4 linked regions of the Arabidopsis thaliana genome follow. The protein of the gene in region 4 interacts with the protein of the main gene of each other region in a pairwise test. Each region holds a gene or a part of one and is shown on either strand. Other genes may lie near its edges. The genes, in order: ERF14, NAC095, AT3G49160 and AT2G36930.

Region 1 (7,367 bases), on a different chromosome or scaffold from region 4:
TGTACCAAAGATAAGAAACAAATGGTGTGTGTGTGTGTATTTGTTGAAACATGTGTGGTTTATATTGGATCTTTAGATTCAAACTTTGTTTACTTACTCTTCTCGAGGCTCCGTGGATTCAACAATCTTTATCAAGAAATTTGATCGAATTGTAACTAGTCAGAGCATCAGATTAGTACCTGTCTAAGGCTTTAATATATTCCCCTAGGGTTTCGTAATGATTCAAGAACAAGCAAAAACGCACTCGTCGAAACAATTACATACCTCGACGAGACTCAGGGTCAACACGGTTCTCCGATTTGACCTATGACCTATCGGCGGCGGCGAGAAGGGGTTTCAGGTGATTAGACTAGAAGGTTTGACTGACGGTGGCTAACCGCCGGTGGGCCCAGAAGCTACGACACCATTGAAGCAATCAAAGAAAAGATTGGTGGGGACGAAAAGGGTTTCTGTGTTATAAGCCGAGCCCGCATTATTTTAAGTTAAAAGTTAGTGCAACTGAACCAAATTTATTTATTCATGTTTGTATGTAAACTATGTTTTTTTTTACTATATTTTTATTAAATTGTATTTTATCATTTTAATTTTAATTAAAAACTTCTATATAATTTTCCAACTAAAATGTTTTTTTTTGTTATATTAATATTTTTATCTTGGGACGGAAAACAAAAATTAATGCCTTTAAAGTATATGGTTCTAGCTTCTATGGTGATCCTGATTCCTGATAGAAGCATGGAATTAACGCCGAAGTCTCTCATCTCATCTTCATGGCCGTGTGGTGTGGGTGATTTTCTTTCTCCACGTATTTATATTTTGTCTTTAAAAACTCATCTATCAACTCAATGAATTATTGTCCCCACAAGTTACTAAACTCATCAGTTGCTTATAAAAACTATTTTCAAAATGTACATGTATATATGCGTCTACATATGCCTTTCCAGTATAATTCATGAATGGAAGAGCAATAACAAGCAATGGTAAGATGAATTCCATATTTCAAACGTATAACACAATGTACTTGTACATGCTGGTAGTTATATTAATTAGAGCGATGTAATAGGTTATATTGATATCTTATAAATTTACTTTGATTTATTTTAAAACGTTTAAGCTCGTTTAGATGAATCACAAGAAGGTAACAAATATATCAAATCATAATTACACGTCACAAAACATAAAAGAATATGTTTCACATAATCATTATTTTCATTAATATTTTCTCAAAACTAATTGCACAAGGAACCGTTTGAACTTTGAAGTTCAAGAAACTAAGATGACCCGCTTAAAGAATCTTATTCGTTACAGAAATCGATTGACAATTACACTTCATGCCAATAATTGAAACAGCTTTGTACGCTTGGGATTTTATTTTATTTGTTATAACTGAAAATGGTCTTTCACATAACTTTCAGTTAATACCGATTGTATTCCCTTTATTGCCTCTTGCCCATGTTGATATTATGAGTCTTGTTATAGTTCTCTCCATATTCAAGAAGTTCATCCAAAACGCTATCGTCCAAGTACTCAAACTCAAAAACTTGCTGCGACGAGGAAGAAGAATTAGCCGCAGTGGATGAGGATCCGGTTCCCATGTTATACTCGTGAGGGAAGTTGAGAATGGCAGCTTTGCCTCTCATTGAATAGGCGGCTCGGTCATAGGCTCGAGCCGCGTCTTCCGCAGTGTCGAATGTCCCTAGCCACACACGCTCTCCGTGCTTCCTCGAATCTCTTATTTCCGCGGCGTATTTACCCCAAGGTCGTCTCCTTACTCCACGGTACTTCCCTTGCTCGGCTCCTCCTCCTCCACTACCACTGCTACGACCTCCTTGATCCATATATCTGTGTATGTGTATATACTGTTGTGCGTCAGAAGAGAGACCAAGTGACAAAGAATAATAAGAAGAATTGGATGTTCTAAGAGTTGGAAACGGACACAAGATGTAGCGTCTGTTTTTTTTTTTTTGTCTTTGTGTGTGTTTTAATTTTGCATGGATTAAATGAGATTTGATTTGTGGAATTTATAGGCAAGGAAACAAGTGGGTCCATCAACCTAATATTCGAAGTTCGAAAAACTCCACTTATGAAAATTATGTAGATGTTCTTTAGACCTTTTTTCTCCTTCAACATAGATGTTTCTCATAAAATAAATTTTCTTTTTCTTTTTCTTTTTTCATTTTTTTATAATAGATTTTATTTTGAGAATTTTGTATTTTACATATATGTACAATTTTTTATGGCTATAATAATATACATGTATGGGGTTTCGGAAATGTACAACATTAATAATATGGTAAGAATCATGTGCAACAAAAATATAAAACAATTTTTTGTTATATCCTTGAAATTATTATATTTTGCGTTTATATTTTACATTATATCTAAATTATTAAATATTTATATCTAAATAGAGCTTATAAGGTTTAACTCAAGTTGAACTTTTGCAAAAAGTAGGAAATTTATGATAAAATTAGACAGTCTCTTGAACTAATTATTATAGAAAACTATATTTGTATGGTATTTTTTGGCAACAGCAATGGAATTTTATGTTACCAAAAATATGATGTGTACTGAATAAAAGAGTTGATTGGAGGACCCATAGGAATATGTTTGACTTGGGACTTCGTTAGTGCCCACGTGGGTTGACTCTCAAAACCGACTCAGAAGCTTTCGTTGGACCATAATAAATTTTTTGTTTAATACAGAATCTACGTGTGGGGGTCTAAGTTCTTGACATGACTTTACATTTTGGAGAATTTTTTCCTTCTAGATATATTTTCACATCAATTAATTTTTATTGAATAATTTGCAGTAGATTAGATCAATTAACTTTTCTTAACATCAAGTTTACGAACATACCACTAACGAAGAAGAACAAAAACGTTTACTAAGTACATTGAATCGGCCTTGAATTGTTTTCAAATTATGCATATATTCTACATAAAGCTGGAAATTCATTACTTATTCTACCTTAAAAGAAAATATAAGATTTTGTTTTTCAAAATGTCGTATAAAAAATTGAGCTAAATATTAATCGCTAAAATTTTTTATGACATTTGAACTACTTTCTCCATCTTTGCCAACGTACGGTACCTGAAATCTCTAGAAATTTGATCGAATCAAATGTTGGTTGCGTTTGTAACTTTGTATATGCATTGAACAAATAAAAGTTTTTATATTAGTAAGAAATGTTTGTAAGTTGTGAACGCAAATACAAAAGGTATTCGCAATTTGATTTTATGCTTTGGAAATCACGCTTCCCATGTACGATAATCTACATTTTTGTTTGTATTTAAAAGCATTAATAAGATATCATATTTTCATTAAATATAATCACACCATTTAGTCCTCTAAAATATACAAAACCAAAAAAAGTAGTCAGCTTAGAATCAAGTAATTTGTAATTGCCTTATACACACTACAGTATATAGTTGTTAACTGAAAAACAAGAATCAACAGCCTATAATACCTTACATACTCTAGAATCTGAATCTTTTAACTTAAATATACGACTTCGTTGAGCCAACAAATATAACTTTCTTTAGTTAGCTAGGTCCACAAAATTAATCGCTAAAGTTCCATAAATATAACAATAGATGTCACAGTCAATAAGAAACTTATACGGAAGGACTTCGTATAAGTGAACATTCCATAAATAGTATCTTTCACCCGTAAATCTCAGATATTTTACTGACACTATACTCTGTCGAAATTGACTTTTATAAACCTATTAGCCTAATCGTCACGTGGGCTTTTCTAATAAGTCATTAACGTTAAGTCAGTTGAAATAAGGATAACGACATGTCCAATGTACCTAGTTGATCATAAATTCATCATCATGGTCACAATGTACCTACTTCTTCAAGTTTTCTTTTTGTTACCTTTTTAAAAATATATATTTTAAAATACACTAATTGGCCCTTTTTGGCTGCTCCTAATATTGGATTCGATCTTATAGGTGTCCGTACATATTCGAAGTCTTTTTTTTTAGACTAGAAAACAAAGTTTTGGAGTTCCCTTTCCTTCTTTGTTCTTCTATCATATCTGAGTTCCTTTCCCTTTCAATCACATTAAAATAATGATTACGATTTTATTATGTCGTTTAAATCTGACTTGCCTTTGACTTTGAATCGGTCCACGACAAATATTTTTTTGGTAAGTTATGACAATTGTTGTAGTGCCTGTATATTTTTTTTAAAAATGCTTAAACTGTCGCATAAATGCGACCAAAAAATAAAATACTGTCGCATTAATGTTTTATTTTGGATAAACCGAGTCTATGAACAAACAAACCAAAACAACCGAAAACTGGGCGACAAAAAAACAACAACTGAAAACTGATTTTGTTGAAAATTCTCGGTAGACGGTAACAAATATCATCGAAAACCTACTGTACTTCAAAACTTCCTTGTTCCAAAAAACAAAAAACAAATCTAAGGATTCTTTTATATTTGAAAAAGAAATTTAAAATAGAGCCTGATTGAAAATAATTATTATTATTCAATTGTTCATTTTTTTTCTTATCTTCAATATACATTTCCGACGTCTTTCTTGAATTGAAAGGAGAGATGAATCTACGTTTATTCAACAATAAAAAGAATTAAATTTAAGAAGATTGGAATTAACGTCTATTCTATTGTAAATTAATAATCTCTGGGAAAAAGAAGATTGTGTGGTTTCGATTGATATAGAATCAGAATCTATATTGTTGTCGCCATTACGACTAGTGTAAGTAAGGGCTCTCGAGGTTGGGGACAACATATAGCTAGAACTAAAGTCTTTTTATGTCTTCGTGCATGAACCTACCAATTGAATAACATAGAATCTATAGTAAAAGGTTTATTTCAGAACAAGAACCCTAACATATAGATGAAGCTTTTAACTAAAGGTTATAGAATATCAAGGATTTATGGGTTAATCTATTTCTTTTACCAAAATCGATAATACGTTGACCAATTTTTTGGATAATCTTCGATCAATTACAGCGGAGTTCCAATGGAACAGAATTTATTAACTATATTTTTATAATTAGCACTATAAATAAGAAATTTATAGTTTAAGTACCTTTTAACTTTCATTCTTTTAATTTGAGAACAAAAATAACTTTAATGAACTCAAAGATATTCATACAATATTATGTATGGTTAATATTAATGCTACACATTATTATTTTCAAGATGACATACACTAGTTTCATTTTAAATATATTTTAAAATTGACACAGTTTATTTTCATTTTAATAGATTGACATAATCTTTGCACACTGAATATATGATGGCCCAGCCCAAGTTCACTCGTGACCCACATATGGTCCACGCAGCTGCCCAAAATGGGTCTAGAAAAACTAATGGAAGAATGGCGAAACATAATTGTTTTTTTTCCTGTCAACGAATGGAGAAAGAGAAAGTGAAACAAGTGAAAGCATTTTTTTTTACAGTTCTCTTTTCTGGTAAAGCATTTTTTTATCTTTTTTTTTTGTTGTCATCAGCATTTATTTATGGTTGTTCAAAAAAAATAAAAAAAATTATGGAAACAGAACAGACGATAGAACAAATTACATCACATTATTCAATTTTACACTAAAGAAATTAATTTTATTTTTGTAACATCTTGCTTTATTTTATTAAAATGAAAACAGAGATTACATAGTTATTTCTTAGACATACACATAAAACCAAAAATTGATTAAAATTTAAGAAATTAATTAACTAGATAATTTAAGTTAAAAAAATTGTTTTTTGTAAATTGTGTCTCATTAAATTATAGGATGTTTTGACTCGCACACATATCAATGGTTCAAAACGTTGACCCCAGATTGGTTTCTTTAAATGGTAAAGTAAAAGTCAACCTTTAGTTTGAGATAATAAAATTTAAAAGCCAATTAATTTTCTTTTGAAATTTATTTACAATTTCTTGTTATGAGATCTACATTATTATATACAGTAACACTCAGTTAGATATTAATCTCTTGTATTTAGCCAAACCAAAAACCATCGGATCAATGCATAAGTTTTGGAATTTCTAGTAATTTATTTCCAGTTAAGTATGTTTTTATAGTGTAGCGTAGGGCTAGAAGACGATCCTGATCAATGCAACTAATAGAATCTCGAACATCAAAACAAAACAAAGAAAATTATAGAGATCGAGTTCATATCTCGGAGCGACGTGTATCGATGATGGTCTGACGCACACACGTGACCGACCAAGCATCACGTGCTGCTGAATGCTGATCCATCTCACCGTTGCTGTGTTGACCTGAGTCGTCGACGTGGCGCATGATGATGATCCTCAGGACCTCATTCTTAAAAGAGTAGTCTATAGTCAAAGTCAATTGTTAATGCGGAAACAAAATTCTACTATATTAATGAGATGCCTAGATTTCTTTTTTCATATTAGTTTTGAATTGTACAAATAATTGGATTCTAGTAAAATCCTCCCAAAATTGAACCAAAAGCTTTCACAGCTGTTGTCAGTCCATGTGAAAACTACTGATGAGTTGTTTTTCACAAGTTTCATGAATCAACTGTTTTTAATGGTGATTTAAGAAAGTTTAAATTTAAGTAATACAATGTCACTAAGTTCTATATGAAATATTCTTCTGCTGCTCTGCCCTGGTTGTAGTATTTGTTTATTTGTAATTACTGCCGAAGCATCAATTGTGATTTTGTCGATTTTTAGGTTTAACTGATGCAACACTTCAACAAAAAAAAAAATTAAAAAAATTTGTAAACATGGATCTGAATCTAATTTTGTCGATTTGTGATTTCTCCCACTATATTTTTTTTTTCTTTTGACAATCGTGATTACGGATTTTCATCGGGAGCCACTTATGAATATTAGTTGTTTGGATAAAAATAAAAATAATGCAAAAACAACAAATTACTTTCCACTAAGGGTTGTCTCCGTCGTGGGCACGTTTTCGTTTTTATTATGTTAGGACAAAACTAAGAACGCCATAAGTCGATGTGTATTTATATATCTTTTTGTGTTAAAGATGTGTATTTATACATCCTCTAACGTATTATAGAACATAAGTCCATCTAAAATTCGATTATATACACTTTGATGATAAATAATACACAAATACGTACACCCAAAATTACTCAAACAACTAACAAAAATAGTCACAATTGTTTTGCTAAAGACAATACATTATTGATAAGAGAAAAAGGTTCAAATATAAAACGAAACTATACTTCTCACCGGACCTATTATTATGTTCTATTCTGTCGTGAGCCAAACTCGTCAAACATAAATACACGATAGAGACTAGTGAGTATGGAAACATTGTCCTTCTTTATCATTTTTTATTTCTGTTTACCAGTTGTTGTTTTGTTTTTTGTTTTTTTTAACATCTCATCTCATTTCTT
Region 2 (7,388 bases), on a different chromosome or scaffold from region 4:
TAGGCAGGAATCTTTAAAATGAAACCAATAATATATTCACTAAGTTTGGAAAAAAACCAAAATTTCATAATTAACGGGACAATGACTAAGCTGTGGAAAAGATAACATAATCTCCCAATGACTCAATGCCACGTATAAGATGAGAACCGTACTCTTCTGTGTTCGTACCAGATCCCTCAAAAGGCGGGAAGAAACCATCAAGAAAGGCACATTGCTGACGTGGAATGGAATATTCGAACACGCATATCCAGCTCCTTCCTCCTTTTTCCTCATATCCCTTTTTTCTCAATATAAATACTCTGCAAAAAAACACCCACAAATCCTCACACAAAAACGTTTTCGAAATCCCTAATCTACTCTCTCTTCTCTATATCTCTACTCTTGAGAAATGGCTCTTAGAACTGTGCTCGTCTCCGACGTCCCTAGCCTCCCGGATTCTGTCTACGGTTTATCCGAAGGTATTTCTCTCTCTGTCTCTCTCTCTCTGTTTCGTCGGCTATTGAGCTGTTTTCGTTTCTGATGATCTTGTCTTTGATTACAGGTTTAGAGTTGAGCAAACCGACGTCGTTTAGGTTACCGGGGTTTTCGGTGATTGGACATAGAGGAATCGGTATGAATGTGTTGCAATCGTCTGATCGGAGAGCGAGAGGTGTTAAAGAAAACTCGATTCTTTCATTCAATTCCGCCGCTAAGTATCCGATTGATTTCATTGAGTTCGATGTTCAGGTTGGTACTCCGATCTATGTAATCAACTTTAGGATTTGAATGAGACAGAGGATTGGGGTTTTATGTTTATGTTTTTGTGTGTGGAAGAAGATTCTGATTTAGATATCTATTTATAGATTCTTAGAAATTGAAATGAAAAATAAGAACATGAAGATTTGAAGAAAGAGAGAGAGATGGCACATAGAGAAGCATTCCAAGCTTTGTGTGGTTTTTCTTTTGTAGGTGACAAAAGATGATTGCCCTGTCATTTTCCATGATGATTTCATCTACTCTGAAGAAAATGTAAGTCTACATTGCTTTCTTCATAGATCTTGGTTTTATATTTCTGGATCTTGTCTTCATGGATCTGGTGTTTGTGTGTTATGGTTCAGGGTATTGTTAATGAGAGTAGAGTGACGGATCTGAGTCTGTCTGAGTTTCTCCTTTATGGACCTCAGAAGGAAACTGAGAAAATAGGGAAGACACTGATGAGGAAATCTAAAGAAGGGAAGGTTTTGAAATGGGACGTTGATTTGGATGATTCTCTTTGTACGTTGCAAGAAGCTTTTGAACAAGTTGAACAAACTCTTGGGTTCAATATCGAGTTGAAATTTGATGATCAGACCGTCTATGAACGAGAGTTTCTTGTCCATATCCTGAGATCAGTACTACAGGTATGCTCAATACTAGTTCCGTATTCTTCCTTCTTTTTCTTGTTGGAGTATGAATATTTATTAGGGTCCAATAGAACCATTTGTTAAAAGTGCTCACAATTAATTTGATCTCTTGAGACCTTTTTGTATCAATGCTGTTGACCTAAAACTGCTGGTCCAAGTTGGATCTAGATTGATTGAGACTTGTTAACTTATTATTTTCTGTTTTTTCCATTCTGTGACAAAACTACAGGTGGTCTCTAATTATGCTAAAGACAGACCAGTAATCTTCTCAAGTTTCCAACCAGATGCAGCTAAGCTTGTTAGGGAACTGCAGAGCACTTACCCTGTATGTTCCATTCTCGCTCTTTTCTTTGATAAATACCAAAAAAAACTTCTTGACTTCTTCATGGAGAAATCACTTAAGATTTAACAATGTCATATGAACTGAACCCAGGTTTTCTTTCTGACTGATGCGGGAAACGAGATTCACAATGACGAGAGAAGAAACTCGCTCGAAGAAGCCATTCAAGTTTGCTTGGAAGGAGGTCTTCAAGGTATTGTTTCAGAGGTAAAAGGAGTGTTCAGGAACCCAGCAGCCATTAGCAAGATCAAAGAATCTAACCTCTCTCTCCTCACATACGGCAAACTCAAGTAAACCTTCTTCACTTTTCTTAATAAAGTCTAAAGACCTTAAGTTTGTTTCCTTATTGCTGTTGGATCCGATCACTGATTAATCAGATTTTAATCTTATTTCAAATATTGTGTTGCAGCAATGTCGGAGAGGCAGTGTACATGCAATATGTGATGGGGATCGATGGAGTGATTGTAGATTTTGTTGAGGAGATTATAGAGTCCACGACACGCATGATGATAAGACCACCACCATCATCATCACCATTACCATCACCTTCCAAGGATGATGATGTTGCCATTACAAGACCTGAGTTTTCACAGAAGGAGATTTCTTTTCTTCTCAAGCTTCTCTCTCAGTTGATACAACATTGATATCTCTGTTTTTTCGTTTTCTTTTATCCCAAGTTTCTTTTTAGGGTTTGATTTTCTTATTGATTTAATTATTATTCTGGGTGTATTACCCAATAGTTGGAATTGTAAATAATTATAAATTTATTTCTTTTTACAAGGATTAACTTTCTCAAAAGAAAATCAGCTATTTTTTAATTAATCGAAAAATTTAGAAAATATATACGTGATTATCTTTTATATAAGCTTTTAAGATATGTCACCCAAAACAAGCTAAGCCCAAGATGGATCTAGACTTTGAAACTCTCATTTTAGGGCAAAAAAATGGTTTTAAGGTTGTGTTATGGATTATCTTTTATATAAGCTTAGTTATATCACTAGGTGACCAATTGTAATGTGCTTTCGGTATAGAGTCAGAGTGATATGACGGGATACGTAGTTTGTAAGCGAGAAGGTGTTTTTCTTAGTAAAGCTTTTCTTATCCGCAAGAAGATTGACTTCAAACATACAGCTTATCTCTTGTGAGAGGTCAAGCTTTATAATGGAGTGAGATATGTATTTTCAGAAGTCTTAAGTATGGACATAAGATATTAGTTTCACATATTTCAATTTTTGAAAGTTTGCAAGTAAAAACCACAAAACAAACGAGTCTGTAGGCACGACCGCACGAGTGCTAAAGTCCGCTGCATATTGATAGTTCGAAGACGGTGTTTTGTCGATATTATTCACTATTTACGTGTCGCGGATTGATTAGCGACTAAAGAATTAGCCTTAACATATGTTTTGTTGAAATATATTTTGAGTCAAGATTATTCTTAATTCCCAATAGAATTTTGAAGTATTTGTCTTTGTTCCAACCTTTAAAAGGATGCTTGAAGTTCCAATCAAACTACAACTCATGCTCTCTCCCTCTTCTGCCTTAACTATGAAGAAAACAAAAGACATTCGTTTTTATTTTTCTCTTCAGTATCAAATTCAAGAATCCAATTCCAATAGCCACAACATAAATTCTCTTTGATATAATAATCTAAAATTAGAAACTGATTCACGTCTCTAAATTAAAATTTCTGATCTATTCAAGTAACTGTTCTTATATGAGTTTTGTTTCCATACATGCTTTGATTTAAACGTTTTCTACTACAATTATATCTACCTCTCAACACTGGAATCCAATTTTCTTTATACGGTTTATATCAAGTATTGATTGTTTTTGTCCAAAACAAAAACCAAGTATTAATTGATATAGCTATAGTACACTCAAATTTTAATTTGCTCACTATAATTCTGATATTACTTTGAATAGAAATTCAAAATTATCTAATCACAAAGTTCAGTTTATTTATAATATGGAAGCTTTGAGCAAAATAATGTAAATATAATTATAAAAAATAATTAGAAATAATTTAGGACAACTGAAAAAAATATGGATTTCGGTCTATAAGTTTCTATTATATATCAAAGGAAGTACTTTTTTTTTTTTGATAAACCCTAAATATCAAAAGTACTTTTCGTTTTTGCCAAATATGTTTAATTACTTATTTTCGAGATGTTATCTTCCATTTTTTTCAGTATCATTGTAATCAATGATAATTATAACAAAATCACGATATGAAAAAAAATATTCCATTAATTGATGTAAAAAAAAAAGTCAAATATCATAACATTAAAATGTAACTTTCCCCTTATTTACTAACTAAAGCTCATGCATGCGTGGCGTGATATTATCTATTCAATTCCTTTTCTAAAAAGGTTTTCCTAGTCCTATTAGGATTAGGAAACAGAGGTTGCTATATAAATACTTGATTCGCTCGCGTTTATCTCAGTCACAAAATCCCTACTTCTTCGTAACAACTTACTAATATATAGGCAGCTTGGAGCTTATTCATTGGACGACGAACTCTTTTTCTTCATCTCTTTCTGTTTTCTTTTTCTCTTCTTTTGTTCTGAGAATAATGGGCCCAACATACAGAGCTTTGCCAGTAGGTATGAGGTTTCGTCCTTCAGATTTGGAGTTGGCTGTTTACTTTTTGATCAAGAAAGCTTTAGGACTTCCCATGAAAGCTCTTACTGTGCCCGACGAATGTAATGATATCTTCTCAACACATCCTCGCGACTTGCCTGGTGAGAATACTTTCTCCGATCCTTTTGACAAAACAGATTTGATAGAGTTTTTGAGTTTCTTGATTTAACTTTGGCTACTTCTTTCTTGCGTGACAAGCTTTATTTTGTGAACTTGTTTTTGCTCTGTTCTTTCAGGCTATGGAAGCGAAGAGCATTGGTACTTCTACTGCAAGAAACCCAAGAATCAAGTTACTAGAACGAAATCTTATAACCTCTGGATACCAACGGGAGAAAAAACTGATGTGTTAGATCCAAAGAAGAATGGCGGCGAATTAGTCGGTATCAAGCATTCGTTTACTTTCATTGAGAACGAAGAAGAAGAAGAATCTGATAACAAGAACGGCGATGAAGAAGAACCTCCACAATGCAATTGGTTCTTGGATGAAATCAGCCTCCCATTGACAGTTGTGGATACTGATTGGACTCTGTGTCATATCTTTTACGAGAAGGTTAAACCTGAATTTGGTAATTTGCATATAGTCGAATCTGAATCCGAATCCGAAGAAGAAGAAGAAGATGAAAGTGTTGATAAGCCTGCAGAGAGTTTGGATAGTGTTAAAGAGAAAGATGGAACTGTTCTTCCTCCACCTCCTGCTACACCTTAGCTTCTTCATGATATAGTGTTTTACTGTTAGTGTTGGTGGATTGTAGATTCTCTCAAAACCTGTCAACGTCCAAATCTTTATTACCTCTAGTTGCATACCTATTGTTTTAAAGATGCTTATTTCACTTCAATATATCGGTTAGGTTTTTTTTCTTTTTCTTTCCACAATATATCGATTAGGTTATGTGGCTCGAGAGACTCACTTGCTCGCTGATACAAAAGTTCCAGAACAAAGAGATCATCCCTCATCTAATGGCTCATGTTAGCAATTGTCCGCCTACCTTGCTAAATTGCGCTCCTACACCTAAAGAAAACTATTGATATGAGTCGTAGTAATAATCAATCGATCTCTCTATTCCAATAATTGTTAGGAGGGTCATAATATATAGAAGAAGATAGATGATATATGTTATATAATATGATATATTGATATGTCCAAAAATCAAATTGTTCAAAAGCCTTAATGAAAAAGAGAAAGAGATGTTTGACCAGCTTAAAAACTTCCGGTCAAACACCTAAAAACCTTTTTTCCGCCTTTGTCATAAATCTTTGACTTTTTGACTTTTTCCCTCTCAACATCTCTTTTCGAGATTTCACCACGTGTCAAACCTCTCATCTGAACCGTTCATCTTACACGCGTGAGATTATCTCATTTTCTCCTCCTCCGTCTTTCTGCTGTTTCTTCGATCTGTTTCTTTGACCAGAAAAACAAAAGCTTCAAACTTTTTAGCTTCTTCTTCTTCCTTCAATGTCGTTGAACACATCCCACGATACTTGACAAAATATCTCACTCTTTCGTCTCTCTGTTTTCGACTCGCAAACCATCGAAGCGCCGATTAATCTTAGAGGAATTTCTTCGTGATTAGGGTTTTGTTTAGTTCTATCTGGAGATATGATGAAAGCTTCGTTTGGAAGGTTAAGAAGATTCGCATTACCCAAAGCCGATGCGATTGATATAGGAGAGCTTTTTCCCACTGCACAAATTGAAGGTCTTGCTCGAGCCGCCAAGGTAAATTTTCCCTCTTTTCACTGATCTTCTCTCATGATTCTCTGAGATTTAGTTTTTTTTTTCTTTTCAAAATCGTGAGTTATTGATCACAAGATTGTAACTTGGATGAGTTTTTGTGGATAAAAATTTCCGATCAAAAATCACACCCTAATTGGAAATTTCAGGACTTTTACAGTTATAGAAGTTTGTTCATTAATTTCTACTTTTATAGACTTATCTTATGGAGAAATTTGGAATTGGTATTTATATCAGTTATGGTAAGAAATTGATATTGTAACTGATGCTAGTTGTTGATTGGTTGAACTAGAACTGGAAGATACATTTTATGACCTAAGCTTATTACTCAATTGTTTTCAGGATATGCAAGATATGAGAGAGGGTTATGATAGATTACTCGAAGTAGCTGCTGCTATGGCTAATAGCGCATATGGTAAATAAGCATTCAACCTTTATGAATCTCCACTTCTATAGCTTCATGTATGAATTTGGAAGGTTGATGTTGTCAAACATTGTGACTGTAAAGTGTACGGTTGCTTCATATAAGATGGGGCTTGCTATACCCGAGCTTTATTGGATTGAATTAGCTTTCATTCATATTGTTTCTAGCGGAGGTCTTCGATAATATTATCATTTTGCGAAATCTTCATTTTTAGTGTCTCTAGAATTTCCCATTAAGTACTTTCTTAACCTTGTGAGAAACCTTTGTTGATTCATATAAGAACATCAGTATATTGTCAGACCTCATCATTTTTTTTTTTTCTTTTGTTCGGTATAATCAGAGTTCTCTGAATCATTGGGGGAAATGGGCTCATGCTTGGAGCAAATCGCGCCTCATAATGATCAAGAAAGTGGTAAGATTTTGGGTATTTAGCTATCATGGACGTTTGTTTGTCCTGTTTCCATGCTGTAACATTGTTTCTTCTGCAGGTGGAATTCTTCTAATGTTAGGTAAAGTTCAGTTTGAGCTTAAGAAACTCGTCGACACTTATGTAAGTTGTATGTTGCAACTTTGTACTTTTCATGAAGCAATATGTATAATTATGAACAAAACTGAGGTAGTTCTTGTTTCATTCTTTTTTTTCTCCTTCAGCGTTCTCAAATATTCAAGACCATTACACGACCTTCAGAGTCACTTCTCAGTGACCTTAGAACTGTTGAGGTATGCCCTAGCTTTGGTCTTTTACAGTCAGAGATTATTTAAAAGCCGGAAAAGTTCACGGTTTGAGCAAGATTTAAAGCTAAAGTGAACAAAAAAGCACAACCTTAATAAAGACCGCTGATTTTGTCGTATTTCCTTTTCTTTTCCTCTCAG
Region 3 (9,512 bases), on a different chromosome or scaffold from region 4:
TCAGCATGTTTGTTAAATCTGACAGGATGGAAGATGCTCAGAGAGCTTTTGAGTCACTTTCTGAGAAGAACTTGGTTTCGTATAATACATTTCTTGACGGAACATGCAGGAACTTGAATTTTGAGCAAGCATTTAAGCTTTTAAGTGAGATCACTGAGAGAGAATTAGGTGTTAGCGCTTTCACATTTGCTAGCTTGTTGAGTGGAGTTGCAAATGTTGGTTCAATAAGAAAAGGCGAGCAAATCCATTCTCAGGTGGTTAAACTCGGGCTCTCGTGCAATCAACCCGTCTGCAATGCTTTGATCTCTATGTATTCCAAATGTGGAAGCATTGACACAGCTTCCCGAGTCTTCAATTTTATGGAAAATCGTAATGTCATCTCGTGGACTTCAATGATCACAGGTTTCGCTAAACACGGATTCGCTATAAGGGTACTCGAAACATTCAACCAAATGATAGAAGAAGGGGTGAAGCCAAATGAGGTCACTTATGTTGCAATCTTATCGGCATGCAGCCATGTTGGTTTGGTCTCCGAAGGATGGAGACATTTCAATTCAATGTATGAAGACCACAAGATCAAACCTAAGATGGAACACTATGCTTGTATGGTTGATCTTCTATGTCGAGCCGGGCTTCTCACAGACGCATTTGAGTTCATTAACACAATGCCCTTCCAAGCCGATGTTTTAGTATGGCGTACGTTTCTTGGAGCTTGCAGAGTTCACAGTAACACAGAACTCGGAAAGTTGGCTGCGAGGAAGATCTTAGAACTTGATCCGAATGAGCCTGCAGCTTATATACAGCTCTCAAACATATACGCTTGTGCAGGTATCTATATAATTCAAACACAATCAGATAAAACTCTTTCTTCTACTGATCTACCTTGTGTGAAAGTGACACTTTGTTGAATATTTCTATGTAGGGAAATGGGAAGAATCTACGGAGATGAGGAGGAAGATGAAAGAGAGAAACTTGGTTAAAGAAGGAGGTTGCAGTTGGATAGAAGTGGGAGATAAAATTCATAAGTTCTACGTAGGTGATACAGCTCACCCGAATGCTCACCAAATATATGATGAATTGGATCGGTTAATTACAGAAATAAAACGCTGCGGATATGTTCCTGATACGGATCTTGTTCTTCACAAGCTAGAGGAGGAGAATGATGAGGCGGAGAAGGAGAGGTTACTATATCAGCACAGCGAGAAAATTGCGGTTGCGTTTGGGCTTATAAGCACGTCGAAATCTAGACCGGTTAGGGTGTTCAAGAACTTACGGGTCTGCGGAGATTGCCATAACGCGATGAAATATATATCGACAGTCTCTGGTAGAGAGATTGTGTTGAGGGATTTGAATCGTTTTCATCATTTTAAAGATGGGAAATGTTCTTGTAATGATTATTGGTGAATGGTGACTTTGAGATTTAGATACACAAATGAGGCTTTTCTATTCAATGTTATTTTAAATCTTGAGGATTTTGGGTTCAATGTGATCGTTCTTTTTAAAAATAAATAAAGAGAAGCATTCTAATTTATTTAAGTTATTACAGTTGAAGATGATTCAGACAAGTTTTAAGATACTAGTGGTATTAGCAATATCCGGTTTTCCGATGATGGAATCCCGTATCCAAAGCAATTTGGGATCAACAAGCAATAAGAGTATTGAATATTTGGCTTTGAATTGCCGGAAACACAGTGCGGTTTTGACGAATTTTGGAGCTATTGGAGATGGAAAACCCTCAAACACCAAAGCGTTTCGAGAAGCAATAAGTAAGCTTACTCCGTTGGCGGCTGACGGTGGAGTCCAACTCATTGTACCGCCGGGGAGTTGGCTCACCGGAAGTTTCAACCTCACAAGCCATTTTACTTTGTTTATCCAGCAAGGTGCAACTATTCTTGCTTCTCAGGTAATAAATATATCTAAGCTCAAAATTTTAGCTAGTATCGTACACCTATTTATGAATGCACTAAAAAATATCAACCATTCTATTTGAGATAAATAATCACATTTGGTTTTATTTCGTTTGTAACAAACAGGATGAGTCTGAATATCCTATGATTCCACCTTTGCCGTCATACGGAGATGCAAGGTTTACTGGTTTAGTATACGGAAGTAACCTAACCGATGTTGTTATCACCGGTAAGCACAACAAAACTTAAATCATTAAAATGGTTTGATGGATATATATATATGAGATTGAATCAAAATTATATATTTAGTTTATAAGATCAAATTTGTTGTTAGGTAACAAAAGAACGACTAATGGACAAGGGAAGTCATGGTGGTTGAAGTATCGAAGTGGCGGTTTCAAGTCGATATCAAGACCTTTGTTGATCGAAATCATCTTCTCCGAAAACTGAAGAGGTGACACTAATCAACACACAATCCGCTATCCGAATCAAAACCGCTATAGGACGTGGCGGTTACATCAAAGACATTTTCGCTAGGAGATTTACGATGAAGACGATGAAATACGTTTTCTGGATGACCGGTTCGTATAAGCTGCATCCCGTAGGCGGGTTTGATCCCAAGGCGTTGCCGGAGATTAGCAATATCCATTACCGTGACATGACCGCAGAAAACGTTACAATTTCGGCAAAGCTAGAAAGGATCAAGAATGGTCCATTTACGGGTTTATGCATGTCGAGTGTGACTATAGCTTTGTCGCCGGACCCGAAGAAGCTGCAGTGGAACTGCACGGATGTCTCCGGAGTTACTAGTAGGGTTACACCGGAGCCGTGCAGTTTGTTACCGGATAAGAGAACTACAATGGACTCAGACTGTGATTTTCCCACGGATAAGATTCCTATTGAGAGTGTTGTGTTGAACAAATGTTATGCTTAGAAATGTGTTTGTAACTTTGTACCGATTTATAGGTTTCATTATTCCCGTAACTAAAAGATTGAATGGTTTATGTTCATTCTTCAGTTTACAAATCCGCTAATAATTTTCACAAACTTTCTAAAAAACATCCAATAAATGAATCATAGTTTCAATAAAATGTAATTTAGAAATAATGTGTCAAATTTTACAAAATCTAATTAAGCAAACTTAGCCATTCTTATTTTTTTGTTCTTACATGGTTAAAAGTTATACATATATTTGAAATTTGAAATAGTCAGTTAAGTGTTTCATATATTCATAAACGACTTTGTCTAATTATAAAACTCTTTTACAATAGGAGCTACTTTCCCAAACTCTTTTAAAATTTACCAAACAATTTCCATTGTTGGAATAGATAAACCAAATTAATCAGTTTTCACGGAATTGGTTTGGTTAAACCGCATGGACCGGTCTTTTTTTTTCTATCTTTGGGTCTCTTGTCTGAATAGGTTTAGAAAAACAAAGCGACGTCGTTTTATAATGGGGACCTTTCAGCCTCATCCGTCCGTGTTACTAGATTCCCCGAGAAGATGAATCTGACACGCGCTCGCCACACTCCCTTTTTATCCTTAACCACAACTTTTTTTATTTCATTAAGAAAATTCTTCATCATTCTTTCTTCTGCTTCTTCTTCTTCTTCTTCGTTGAAAAATCTGTCTTCTCTTCTTCTTCTTCTTCTTCTTCTTCTTCTTCTCCTCAAGACGAGAGCGAAGACATTATCTGAACAAAGCGCTTCTCCATAACAAAGGTATTTCTCATGTTCTTGTCCTCTAGGGAATGAGTTTCGGTTGATTTTGATTCCTTCCAGATATTTTCTCAATTCCAGTAGCCTAGAAAACTTATTTGCTTAGATATGATTTGTTTCCTGGATTTTGATTTGTGGTAGGCTTGTTTTTGTCCTTTTCACGAACTTGGAATTTGTTTGTTTTTTTGTTTTCTTTCTTTGCGTTATACATGTTTCGTTTCTTGTCTTTGTGGTTATGCCTAGGTTTTAACCTCTGTGTCAATCTATAACAGTTTCTCCTTTTTCGTTTTGATTCTCAGGTGATTCAATTAGTCGATATGGTAGGACTTGATTCAAGCCACTTGTTGAGAGACAAGATCCTTTGCTTCTCCAGCAGGTCTCACATAAACAACCAACATAAGAAGACAAGTTATGCATTATCACTTAATCACATGAAACTTCCTATTCAGAGAACCTTAGCTTTTGCCTTAGCTCGCGGGAAAGGCGAAGCTGAAAGTTTCAGCAGATTGGAAGCCACCTTTGGTGATAATACCTCCACAGAATGTACCTGGAGTTTTGACTTTCCAGATTCTAAAGATGCTATGTCTCATCTCAAGTCAGAAGCAGACCTCTCTGGAAGCAATGGGGCCAATAATGTGGCTAGTGTTATCGAAAAACTGAATGCTCTTCGGTCACATCTCTTAGCAGCAGAGAAATGGAATGCTTCTCAACTACACTTATGTGACAGGTTTGTTAACCATTTTATATATAGTTTGCATTACTTATTTTTCGCCTAATTTCCTAGTACCGTCTGTTGCAGTAAGTATCTGGAATGTGCAACAAACTTAGTTCATTATATGGCTTTGAGATCTCTGGACATTGAGCAGCTCAACAGTCATCTAGCTTCTCTTGGTCTGTCAAGTTTAGACAACAACAATCTGGATGTTCTCGCCCACCTTAACGCCTCTATTAATCTTTTGATGAACGATCAAAACGCTGTGACGGAGTCTTGGACTAATGTATATCCCAAGGGAAAAAGTACTAAGAAGAATGATAAAGGGAGGGTATTATCATACAAAGAGTCATTACTTGGTAAACTTCGTGAGGGAAGAAGTACTCATATCATGGTAACTATTGGTGAAGAAGCAACTTTGAGTGAAACATTTATAACTGATATTCTTAAAGCTGGAACATCTGTTATCCGTATAAACTGTGCACATGGAGATCCAAGTATTTGGGGTGAGATCATCAAAAGAGTAAGAAGAACTTCTCAGATGTTAGAGATGCCATGTCGCGTTCATATGGATTTAGCAGGACCAAAACTCAGAACTGGTACCTTAAAACCTGGTCCGTGTGTGATGAAAATTTCACCAAAGAAAGATGCTTATGGAAATGTTGTTTCTCCTGCTTTGGTATGGCTCTGCCTCACAGGAACAGAACCTCCTGCTCATGTTTCCCCTGATGCTACTATATCGGTCCAAGGCCAAGATTTTCTTGCTGGTCTCCAAATTGGTGATTCTATAAGACTATGTGACGCTAGAGGGAGAAAGAGGAGACTTAAAATCTCAAAAGAGTTTCATGTTTTCAACAGTACCGGGTTTGTGGCTGAATGTTTCGACACTGCTTACATAGAAAGTGGAACTGAGTTAAGTGTTAAGGGAAAGAAAGGGAGACGTTTAGTTGGACGAGTAGTAGATGTTCCTCCCAAAGAATCTTTTGTAAGGCTAAAAGTTGGAGATTTACTAGTCATAACCCGAGAAGGATCGCTCGATGAACCATCTGTAACTGTTCCAGGAGCTCATAGGTTAACTTGTCCTTCCGGTTATTTGTTTGATTCAGTCAAGCCTGGTGAAACCATTGGTTTTGATGATGGAAAAATATGGGGAGTCATAAAAGGAACAAGTCCTTCAGAGGTAATTGTCTCCATAACTCATGCACGTCCAAAAGGTACAAAACTAGGATCAGAGAAGTCCATTAACATACCGCAGAGCGATATCCATTTCAAAGGCTTAACATCAAAAGATATTAAAGATCTTGATTATGTAGCTTCACATGCTGATATGGTTGGTATTTCTTTCATACGTGATGTCCATGATATAACCGTTCTTCGACAAGAGTTGAAGAAAAGAAAACTAGATGATCTTGGTATTGTTTTAAAGATTGAAACGAAAAGTGGATTCAAGAATTTGTCTTTGATTCTTTTAGAAGCAATGAAGTGTTCGAATCCTTTAGGAATTATGATAGCTAGAGGTGATCTTGCAGTGGAATGTGGATGGGAGAGATTGGCTAATATGCAGGAGGAGATTATAGCTATTTGTAAAGCTGCTCGTGTACCGGTGATTATGGCAACTCAGGTTCTTGAATCACTTGTGAAATCCGGAGTTCCAACTAGAGCTGAGATTACTGATGCTGCAAATGCAAAAAGGTAAAATATTTTGCATTAGACATGATCTTTGTAAGATTTGCAGTTTCTTTGTCTAATTTTGCATTTTGAAAATATGCAGGGCGAGCTGTGTGATGTTAAACAAAGGCAAGAATATCGTTGAAGCTGTTTCAATGTTGGATACTATTCTTCATACCAAGCTTATCTACAAGAAATCGGACTCTGAAAATCTCCATTGATCTGCTTGTAGTTTGCTTGGCCATTTATATTCGTATTGTTGTTTTATAAGAAAGAGATTTTAGGGGAAATGTACAATGTATTTAGGATATGATGAATGAATAGAGATCATAACATGGAAGGATTAAGCTTGTTGATTCTAGTTCTCCCATTATGATTCCGATTGATGATGGTGTTTCAAACAGTGAACAGTATAAATAGAAAGTAATGCCAATCACAAACAAGAACGGTGTTTTGGTTGGTTGAGACACAAAACTCATGTGTTTACGAAAGAACATTGTTTTATTACCATCCTCTTTGAAAACCATCTTTCGCATTCAATCATGAGAGGGATTGTCACTCCTCGAATTAGAAAGGTGGTAAAAACAATGGAAGCCCACCTGCAATCACAGAACATACAGAGATGATTGATATAAGACATGGTCATTTTTGGGTGTAAAAAAACACAAAAAAGTGATCCAACAATAACTCCAAGGATGACATGATTTAAAAGTTGACCAACACAAAAAAAAGAAGAAGATTTCTTACCAGTTTAAGCCTGTGAGTGAATGCACATTATGAACTATCTGCTGAACAAAATCTAATTGGATGGAGGAATCGATAGCAGCATCGGCAACTTCGATGACTGTATCTTGCTGCACTAAATCAGTAAGAGTTTCAGCAACATGATTCACATCGCCACTCTCATCTGAGCCTGAAATATGTGAAGTCGACATAGGCCGATAGGTAGAGACACCAAAAGGAGAGCATAGTGGGAAATGTGAAGGGCTTCTCATCATATGCTGCTGAGAGAGAATCATCGAACTGCTGAAGGATCTCTGATGAAGAAAAGAGCCGTAATGTGGCTTCTCTTCATGGACATCATCACGTTGAATGATACCGCTACAAGATGGTTGGTAGCAGCGAGCATTGAATAAGGATCTGAGAGACAAAGTGCGTCTCAAGTCCCTGTAAACAGTAAAAGATTAGTGAGATTGGTATTAGAACAAGCCAAAAAAATAAAAAATCTCATATTTAGTATCTTAAAAGCTTAGAGAAAAGAAAACGCTATAATAAAGCAACACTTCTTCTTCTCCACATTGCAAAACGCAGAACACAAAAAGCAGAGACTTAAAAATGAGAACTTTAGAGCCAGTGAGCACAAAAACGCAGAGCACAAAGAGGAGAGACTAAAAAACGAGAACTTTAGAGCCAATGGGCACACATAGAATCTCAAAGTATCATCATCATGATCAAACAAGCTGTAGAATGAAACAAAGAGACGAACCTGATCGAAATTTCTACACGGCGACGGAAGAACAGAGAGCAGAGTGGGAAAAAGTGAAAGTTAGGGTTTTTAGTGAGCAAACGAAATCGCTAAGCCTCGATTCGTGCTCATGCTTTCTCGGTGGGTAAGACAAAATGTACAATTTCATGACTCCTCCTACAAAATGCAGAAACGATTTCGCTCGCACTTAAGAAGACGACAAAATTGCGAGAGGACCAAAGATAAATTTAAATGTAACGATTTGGGGTTGTTTTGCAATATCAGAACAATTGGTTTGACATAAGCTTAAATTTTGAAGTTTTGAGAAAACATAAAGTATATAATATTCAACACAAAAGTGAAAATGCGTATTGAGAAGGCGAAAGAGTAATACACATATTACAGAACAAACCCCGTTTAGTAGATACCGAATAGATGATTCGTAGACACGTAGAAGTTAGACCTCGGGGATTATATAGACTGTGCATTTCGACGAGGTTACTAACATCTGAAGTTTGCTTATCACATCTTCATAAATTTGTGTATCGTAGAACAATTTCATTTCTTCAAGATTCGGCATTGTCTCCAGGAAATACATGACGAGCTCTATCTGCTTCTCCATGTCATCATAGTCATCACAAATTTCACCAAATTTCCATATCGTTAGAAACTGCACCGGACTTGATGATAGGCAACTAGGAATGCCACGTGAAGATTTGCATAGACACCCGTCAACATCCTCACATTTAATTGTATCGTTGTGATGGAGCCCCTGAATCGTAGAGTAACCAACTTCAAACTCAATTTTTGTTTACAAATTTGTGTAAGCAAATGCAATATATGAAAGGTTATGAGTTAGTACATCGAAGATAAGGCTTTCTAGATCTGGACAGTTTTTGAGTAGAACCGGCAATGACTCCCATCCTGCTTTTTGGTCAGTCTTAATAATTAAACAAACCAGGTTTTTGAATACCGGTATTTGTTCACAACAGAAAGTAAGTACCTGCAAGGCATGTAACACTAACTTGTTTGTCTTCTTTTTGTTTCAATGTAGCCAAAAAAGAAGAAGAAGGGATTACAATACAAACCTCAATGGTATTGGCAAATAATTCAAGGATCTGAACATTGCTTATTCCCAAAAGAAAATCTGTTGCATTACCGACCAAATGTTCATAGCTTGCATGTGTACGCTGATGAGATGTCATTTGAAGACAGATACTAGCGTAAACAAGTGAATCAAAATTCATATTTTTATACTTGTCTGCAACGCAATCATGGTATACAAAGTAGACAAGATTGGGTGTATCAAACGAAACACTCTCCGGATTTACGGCATGGACGTCTTCACAAAAGAACGTTAGCCTCTTGAGGGTTTTAGAAGATAGAGAGCGCTTCAAATAACCATCCCAACATATATTCATAATAAATAAATCCTCAAGAACATGACAACTAGTAATAAGCTTCACAAAGCCGTTATCACTGTGTCGTAACAAGACTTTATTAAGATATAGAGTCTTGAGGTTTGGAAGAAAAACATCTTCCACATCAATGAAGGCACCGTTTCCAGTTTCTATTCTCAGATGAACCAGTGCCTTGCTCACAAAGATATCTGGAGGCATGGTACCATTATCCCAATACACAATACAACGTAGATCAAGATCCGATACCCCGCGTTCCATCACATTTGATATCCAACGAGATACACAAGTTGGATCAGTAAAATCTCGGCATGTTAGAGAGAACTTGTTGATAGGATAATCACCCTGCAAACTCAATACTCTATCAACGAAATTCTCAAATATTGTCTCATTTCTTTCTCCGTCAGGATTAAGATATACTACAGCGTCATCAAACTCAAGATTTGGTCTGAAAGCAAATAGATGCTGCCACTTTTTCGAAAGTACTGAAGTCAAAGCCGAATCTTCTATGGGAAGGAATGACAAGATGTGGCAAATAAGAGCTTCTGGTAGATCACTAATTATATCTTTTTTTGAATGATCACTAATTATATCTTTGCAACATATATCCATCCTTTTTGAATC
Region 4 (8,262 bases):
AAATTCATATCCGCGCTACCAGAAGGTTACAAAACGTATGTTGGCGAGAGAGGCGTTCAGCTCTCGGGAGGACAGAAACAGAGGATCGCGATCGCACGTGCCCTCGTGAGGAAAGCAGAGATCATGCTGCTTGACGAGGCTACAAGCGCTCTTGATGCAGAGTCCGAGAGATCAGTCCAAGAAGCATTAGACCAGGCTTGCTCTGGTAGAACATCAATAGTCGTGGCTCATAGGCTATCTACAATCAGGAACGCACACGTGATCGCTGTCATCGATGATGGAAAAGTGGCTGAACAAGGATCGCATTCGCATCTTCTCAAGAACCATCCTGATGGAATCTACGCGCGAATGATACAGTTGCAAAGATTTACGCATACACAAGTGATTGGTATGACGTCAGGTTCAAGTTCTAGGGTTAAGGAAGATGATGCTTAGTACTTACTACTTTGGTCATATAGAAGAAAAAAGAAGGAGAGTAAAAAACAACAAACACCAGAAGATGTTTCTGATAAAAAACTCTACGAACTCATCATTTTCTCTTTTTTTCTTTCTGTTTTGATTTTGGGGTTACTTATTTTTGGAACTACGTTTCAGATTTGATGGTATAGTATTATTATTGTGTATTATCATAATTAATCTAATTTTTCACCTCTGTAATATCCATTTATATGCCATATCAATCTATGAGCCTCTGCCTTTCTAGTGAAGTGAAGAAGGTGATGATGAGAGGTATGTATCTCATAATCATCGAGGCACTTGTTACCATATATATTGGTTTGGTCTTGTTCTAGATTTCAGGATAAGCCTAACTTTTCAATCATGAGATCCGTTCTAAAAGAAATATTATGGTATATGATGAAAATGTAATCTTTTAAGGTTTTTAATTGTATTGGTTAGATGGGTGATGGGTCTCGAATGTTGTGGGTCTATTTTAAAATCTATTGTGTGTACATCATGCTTTTATACTAGATCATGATTAGTAATGTAAGCATATAAATAATTAACTATGACAATATTGTCAAAAAGAATGCTTTAGATGTATAGACACACGAACATACGTGGGGAACAAAATTATGAAGATGAGAAAACAGAAGATGAGAAAAAGAAGATGGGTCCAAAAAGGACATTGAATGAGATGATGAGACCCAAAGCTAAAACAATAATGAAAAAAAGAAAGAAAAGACAACATTTCTTTTGTGTTTATATAACTTTTTATGAACAAAACAATTCTTGACTTCGTTTCTTTGTGCAACACACGCGTGCGACCACACACACATATATGCATATGGGACACACACCATGATGATGATGACTACTTTGTTTTAGCTGTTGAATGCAAATAAATTTGTGTTTAATTATGAACAAACTTGGAAATTATAGTGGTGGAGAAGAAGAAGCACTAGCTCCTCTCGGCACATGTCGTTCACTAATTGAGAAATTCATAGAAGGCCAATAATTTAAGCTACAGTACTGGAATTCCCCACTTTCTATTAATAAAAGTTTAACAATGTCACCAAGGTTTTTTTACTCTTATTTTTTTTTTATGTAAAGTAGCATGGATACTGGAACTTGAACTACATTTATAACTTTTACAAATCAACGCAAGATTTTTTTTGTAAGATTAGATTATATTTTTGTGAACACCGTGAAAATGCAAATTAAAAATAATGAAAAGATATGCAACAGATGGATACTGGGAGTGGGACATAAGAAAAGCTCTGAAGATAAAACATGCGCAAGCAGAGAAATGGTATAGATCAAGATGAGATTTGCACCTCGATCCGTTTGATATTCAAGTCTATTACGCCTATTCCTAATCCAAAGAGGAACAGCGTTAGAAGAGTCATTTATCAAGGTGTTGCGGATGATGAATTTAGGCTCCGTTATGGGCTTGGAAACAAAACACTAGAGGGCCTGCATACTTTTCCCGATCACTTTGAGTGTCTCTTGTCTGTGTAACACTTAATTTAGAATTTCTTGGTGGATGCCTTAGCGGCGGGGTTTTCTCAAAATGTTATCACTCTTTTATTTGAATCCTTGCCAACATTTTGGATTAGCCTTTGCGAATAATATATATATATATATATATATATATATATATATATATATATATATATATATATATATCATCACTTGCGGTCTCATTAGTCCCTCATACAGTATCTCTGTGAAATCGTTATAACGATAACTCTCTTAGACGAAGAAGAAATCGCGAAACGAGAATGTCATTCTCAGACGATTGTACATCTCCATCGGAAAAGAATCGAGCTCGTACGAGTCAAGAACCACGAGAGCGCCCTCAAGATTTGTCTTTCTTGTCATCCAAGGTAACAGAGAAGCAAATTATGAGCCAAGAACCGTTTGAAACGTCTTGCTCCTCTGTTTCTCCGATGAACAGAGACAAAGAAGCCTTTAACAGTCGACATGGTCCATTCTCGAAAAACCAAAACTACTTCGAAAGTAATGACATCACCATGAACACTGAAAACCTGCTAAATCCTTTCCATTTCGGAGGAGGTTCTTGTGGTTGTGCCTTTTTATCAACAGAGTCGATGTTATGTTCTTTTACCGTTTCAGGTGAAGAACATGGCACAAACAATTCTGACACTTTGGGAGACCCAAGTAACATTTCTCTTCGTTGTTTTGGGAGCATTGAATCCATATTGAAGGTAGCAAGAGATGGAATAGAGATTACGATGATGCCTATCCCTAGACTTGTCAACAACGCACCTCAATGGACCATCAAGAAGAGACTGACCGAGCATAATGTTAACCCTACTTATGGCCAACTTCGTCTGCCCAGAAGCTTCTTCGAACAGCAGATTCGAGGACATCTGCCTGAAGCTGATTTGCAAAAGCGGACTCATTGTTAAGGTATAGGACAACGACACGAGCACAATGCATGAGCTGCGTCTGGCAGTACAATATACCTATGTTCTAACGGGTGACTGGCTGGAAGATTTTATCCAAAAGGAGAAGTTTGAAAGAAAGAGACGATATAGGACTCTTATGGGATTCTTCTGCTTCTAGGCTTCACTTTGGCGTGATTGCTCGTGGAAAGGCAATAGTTCCCCGGAAGAGAACAAGGTCTGCATAATGTGATCTCAATTACAAACGCATATCAGCAGCTGAGAGAGCTAGTGTTTTGTTCTTTCTATTTTGTCAAAACAACGATTGGTATGGCTTATATGGTTAAGTTTTTTATGCAACCAACACAAACAATATATGATTTATCAGATTTAAACTTCTAAGTGAAGCTAAACCAGTAACTGCATGATAGATACTTGGCAACAGACAAAAAACCTGTATCATTAATTTAGGAGATTATAGTTTTACAACAAAATTTCGGGTTCCATTAACTAAATAAGGAAAATAACTGTAAAAACTCAGGCAGACATCAGCTTTGGACCATTGTCTGGCATTCCCATTCCACCAGCTAAATCTGCATCGAGTTGCGAGTGTGGCGCTGGTCGCTCTATCTTCTTCACACTGCAATCACACAAAAATCCAAATGGACAATAGAAAGATATTAAGTCTGAGTACAGAGCAACAGACATGCATAGATCAATAATATAATCATACAGAGGTAATCAAGTTACAAGTGCTAAAACATTTTTAGCTACGCCAGTGACGAGAAATAGCTTTAACATTGCCAGCAAGATGAATTCAAAGTAGACGAGCACAAGAACCAAACACAGTTCCAAGATCAAAACAAGATAGAAACCAAGACCAAGGAAGAAGAATCCACATACCGCTTTTTGTGTTTCTTAGTCTTGAAATGATAATCCATCACTGATGCATTGGAGAAGTTCCGACTGAAAAATATCAAGGTAGAGAGACAAGGTCAATCAAATACAAACAAATGTTCACACAAACATGGAAATCTAGAGTAATTCAAAGATTGTCTTTTTGCACATATAATCTTACTGGCAGAGTAAGCAGTTGAATTGACCCATTCCAGGTAAATCCTCCGTCTCTGGTTTACGCAACTCTGTGAATACCAAATTAGACATCAGCTTTGGGCCATTGTCCGGCATCCCCATTCCCCCGGCTAAATCTGCATCGAGTTGCGAGTGTGGCGCTTGTCCCATCATCATATTCACACTGCAATCCAAGTGGACAAAACACATATAATAAGTCTTGAGTACAGAGCAACACTGCAACAGACATGTATAATCATACAAAGGTAATCAAATTACAAATGCTAAAACATCTTTAGGTACACAGAAGTGAAGAGAAATAGCTTTAACATTGCAAGCAAGAAAGTAAACGAGCACAAGAACCAAACACAGTTCCAAGAACACAAAACAAAATAGAAACCAAGGCCAAGGAAGGAGAAGAATCCACATACCGCTTCTTGTGTTTCTTAGTCTTGAAATGATCATCCCTCACTGATACGTTGGAGAAGTATCGACTAAAACATATCAAGGTAAAACAAACAAATGGGTCATATAGAGTAATTCAAAGATAATGTATTTGCTAAAAAAAAGTTTCATAAACCAAAAGAATCGTCAATAGAGTAATCATAGAATCTCTCTTACTCGCAGTGTAAGCAGTAGAATTGACCCATTCCAGGCAAATCCTCGTCAAGCTGTAACGGCTTAATCTCCGTCTCCGGTTTACGCAACTCTGTGTAAACCAAGTCATCGCCTTTGACTTCGAATTTGTCACGGCGAGCTGTTTTGTGAGATAATCTCCTCTTCTTCACTTTTCTAGTCGGACATCTACCCATTTTAGCTTCCTAAGTACTGAGATCGAATCATCAATTGAAAAATTAGTGACTAATTGATAAGAATCTAAACGAATTTGCAGATTAATTCAAAACTTACGATTCAGAGAAGAAACTGTGTAGGAGGAGCTGAAGACGACGAATGCGGAAGAGGAAACCCTAGAAAAAATATCAGTTTCGGTTATAAAGTATTGATTAACCTAAAAAGGGCGGTTTCAGTGATGGAGACTTTGACGCAAGGCCCATTTATTAAACAGGCTTAGATAGGCCCATTAATAATTAATGATTTGGAAATCAGTAATACATACGGAACCAATTAAGATCTAGTCTGAAATTATTCTGAAATAGCATTGTAAGATAAGTCACAGAGTTCTAGCAATGTACTTGGACCGAATTAGTGACAGAAGCGTAGGTTTACTGATAAATCTCATAACCTTGTTTTTAGGGTTCCATTAATTTATTAGTATAACAAGAAACCAATAAATTCTTAGAAGTGGAGAGAGCAAGGGAATGAAAGGCCTCTTTGCGTTGCATACTCTTAATGCTCCCCACAATGATGGTTTTGTTGTCTTGGGGAGGGTTTGAAGCTTGTTTCTTCTCTCTATAATTTTTTTTGTCACCAATACGTCATGTCTCCACCACACTTACTATCCCGAGTTTGAAATGCTTTCCAATTAATGTTTTAATAGAACCGATCCTACTTATGTTATGTGGATTTACATCTAGAGCAAGGACAATGTGTCATTCTCATTCCTCCAGCTAGATAATACGTGGTTAGCAAGATTTGTTTGAAATGTGGGACGTTCCTTTTTTCTTTCCAGATACTTCTACACCATATTGGTTCGTCAATGGGGTCTAATTGTTCTAATAAACTAAGGTGCTCCTGCCGAGGAATACAATAATTGTAACAATGATAGTGAAACAGACCGGTACCAAATCCAAACTTTTCATATTATTTATTAGTGTAATAATGTTGCATGGAGATCCATTTAGATGTTTAAAATTGAGTTCTTGATGAGTTGGTTCTACTTTGTCTCTGCCCCCACTAAACTTGATTTCAAAACGTTTCTATAGCCCATCTTTTTCATGTTGTCTTAATTATCAGATAGATTTTACTCTTTAGACTCCTAAGACCAAGTTACTGTATATCATTTTGATTATCTTATTTTCTTTCACTTTCTAACTGTAGTTTACTTTTAGGTTCCATTCCGTAAACATTGCTATCGTTTTGTGATGAACACAAATTTCTTTTAATTTGTTCTTTCCTCATTATTTCCTAGCAAAATGAATGGAAATTATATTTCATAAAATGAATCTTTAATAGTTTAATCCATGTTACAGCCATTTTCACCTTTACATGAGAGACAAATATGTACGGCGAACTTTCTAGCAACAAAAAACTGACATGCATGAAGATGGTTTTTTTTTTTTTTTTTTTTTGCCAGTCGCATGAAGATGGTTTATAACCATATTGAATGGTCATTTTTGTAAGCTACAACGAGAGGCGAGCAATGAGACTTGCCAAAAAAATATGAGGAAAAATGGTGACTTGCATGTGTACTTAAAATGGCACCATATGGATGGATGAAACTACTTAAAGGGTTGAAACGAGACGATTTTCTGTTGCCATATTTTTCTTGATTTTGTGTGGCTGTGTATACCATAATCTCTAATTGCAACCTGAAATTAAAATGGTCTATTTATGTTGCAATTAGTGATTATGTTTTATATTAACCTTGGTAAAGTTAGTTAAAATTATCCAAGTCAGCCTGACGTGTTACACTGTGGAACACGAAAACAAATCTTTGTAGTTTGTATGTGTTGAAATCGTATTTAGCTACATATAATAAGTGACCATTTCTACCCTAAACTTCCAAATTACTGAACAAAACGTTTCAAAAGATCCAAACATCGATTTTCAAAATACAAACACAAACTTACGTACGTTGAAGTTTGTGGTCATTGTGATCGTTAACTTTACGAAAGATTTTAGATAATAGACAAGAAAGTTCTCAATCAAACTCTATATTTCATGTGTATATAATAATATGTGTCCACCTCATGTATTACGTCACTCATAGGACCATATGACCAAAAAAAATCAACAAAACACAATGAAACATGATGTTGACAAAATGGACCGGTGAAAGGAGGAACGAAACGCAATTACGCAACCCTTGGGACATTTTTTTTTTTTAACTTTTCTTATCCTTTTACTGTTTATGCAGTTGAAAGATTTTCAGATAAAATTCAATTTTCACACAGCGAACCCAATATGTTAGCATTCAAAGAAAAGTAAAAACTCAGTGAGTTAATATTGCAATTCCTCTTGTCTCTATCTCTATACCGCAGCCCATGTTTTTTGTAGATAGGCGGTTCTTGGCTGTTTCCATGAAGCTGAAACTAACAAAACCAAAGTAATCATTTAATTAAAATCACTAATTGTGCTCTTTAGGAGAGCAAAATTCTTTTGATTTATGCAAGAATTTAAAAAATAATTATATAAGCTATTGGTGCTGAACGAATTATGTAAAGTAGTGTATGCCAGTAGGTGATAGTGATACGAATAGTGTATTACAACGAAACGTGAAATTACATTCTTGATACTCGAAAACATATACAATTTTTTAAAAAATTGTTCAGATATATGATACACATTTTTGTTGATGTTAATTTAGTAATATATGTACATTACACACACATGTCTCGAATTCTTCTATGTACTAGTATCAAATATATTAATCGGTCAAACTACTTGACAGATTAAAACCATGTGCGACTTCTCGTATAGCTTGTATTTTAAAGTTTTGATCTGATCTTAATATGCGTTTATTGGATCATATAATATAACATGTGGTATTTTAATATCATAAATTTTGGTTTCTTTTCCTAAAAATACAACAAAATATCTAAAACTTTTTGGGAAATCTGTTAGAAGATTTTTTTTTGAATCAATTGTAGTAAATCACTTCTTAAAATGAATTTTTTAAATAATATAAAACATAAAAGAGAAGAGAAGAGGAGGTTCCATCAACTTCACTTACAATGAGAAAAGACTATGCAATTTGCACAATCATGACTTTAACCAATACACATTTATCAGAAGAAAAAGAATCTATCTTTATCTTTAATCTCTTTACAAATTCTTTTTTATTGATAAAATTTCAAAAATGATGTGATTCAAAAATACAAAAATGATTTGATTAAAACATCACTTTTCTTCCTATATGAACTTGTAATAATAAACGAATTACCGGACTTCATAAAATGATTTGATTTCGTATTTAAGGCCATGAAATCTTCTAACTAAAGTTTGTTTCTGATAAGGTATAGGATGTATATTCTTTGAATTGTGACAATTGGTCGAATGTATTTTTACCTTAAACTGATATAAGATTCTGCTAATCTAGACTCAAGTCATCAAGTAGTCAAAGCTGAGAAATGATGCTCTTTTTGTTTTCAAAAGCAATGTTACCTTTAAGAAATCATTAAACTTGATCAACTATTTGCGTCACAAACAATTTTTGTTTTTA

Evidence for each region.
Region 1: the proteins of AT2G36930 (region 4) and ERF14 interact in a two-hybrid assay, tested with the Arabidopsis thaliana proteins (one large-scale study listed by BioGRID).
Region 2: the proteins of AT2G36930 (region 4) and NAC095 interact in a two-hybrid assay, tested with the Arabidopsis thaliana proteins (one large-scale study listed by BioGRID).
Region 3: the proteins of AT2G36930 (region 4) and AT3G49160 interact in a two-hybrid assay, tested with the Arabidopsis thaliana proteins (one large-scale study listed by BioGRID).

Annotation. Positions count from the first base shown.
Region 1 is NC_003070.9:1,169,645-1,177,011, reverse strand, and holds ERF14 (Ethylene-responsive element binding factor 14), read right to left. Parts: upstream 1,980-7,367; 5' UTR 1,836-1,979; coding exon 1,434-1,835; 3' UTR 1,244-1,433; downstream 1-1,243.
Region 2 is NC_003076.8:16,441,470-16,448,857, forward strand, and holds NAC095 (NAC domain containing protein 95), read left to right. Parts: upstream 1-4,185; 5' UTR 4,186-4,294; coding exon 4,295-4,463; intron 4,464-4,598; coding exon 4,599-5,068; 3' UTR 5,069-5,204; downstream 5,205-7,388. Other genes in the region: GDPD2 (PLC-like phosphodiesterases superfamily protein), read left to right, coding at 389-458, 542-726, 949-1,008, 1,098-1,379, 1,612-1,707, 1,816-2,012, 2,132-2,366; AT5G41100 (hydroxyproline-rich glycoprotein family protein), read left to right, coding at 5,960-6,076, 6,434-6,506, 6,856-6,927, 7,004-7,065, 7,167-7,235.
Region 3 is NC_003074.8:18,218,846-18,228,357, reverse strand, and holds AT3G49160 (pyruvate kinase family protein), read left to right. Parts: upstream 1-3,452; 5' UTR 3,453-3,628; intron 3,629-3,924; 5' UTR 3,925-3,942; coding exon 3,943-4,352; intron 4,353-4,424; coding exon 4,425-6,029; intron 6,030-6,108; coding exon 6,109-6,226; 3' UTR 6,227-6,480; downstream 6,481-9,512. Other genes in the region: EMB2261 (Tetratricopeptide repeat (TPR)-like superfamily protein), read left to right, coding at 1-828, 923-1,404; AT3G49155 (F-box/LRR protein), read right to left, coding at 6,481-6,604, 6,753-7,024; AT3G49150 (F-box/FBD/LRR protein), read right to left, coding at 7,928-8,242, 8,333-8,394, 8,474-9,500.
Region 4 is NC_003071.7:15,506,616-15,514,877, forward strand, and holds AT2G36930 (zinc finger (C2H2 type) family protein), read right to left. Parts: upstream 4,993-8,262; 5' UTR 4,830-4,992; intron 4,749-4,829; 5' UTR 4,733-4,748; coding exon 4,542-4,732; intron 4,415-4,541; coding exon 4,352-4,414; intron 4,105-4,351; coding exon 3,928-4,104; intron 3,816-3,927; coding exon 3,753-3,815; intron 3,490-3,752; coding exon 3,387-3,489; 3' UTR 3,283-3,386; downstream 1-3,282. Other genes in the region: ABCB1 (ATP binding cassette subfamily B1), read left to right, coding at 1-435; AT2G36920 (B3 domain protein), read left to right, coding at 2,223-2,873.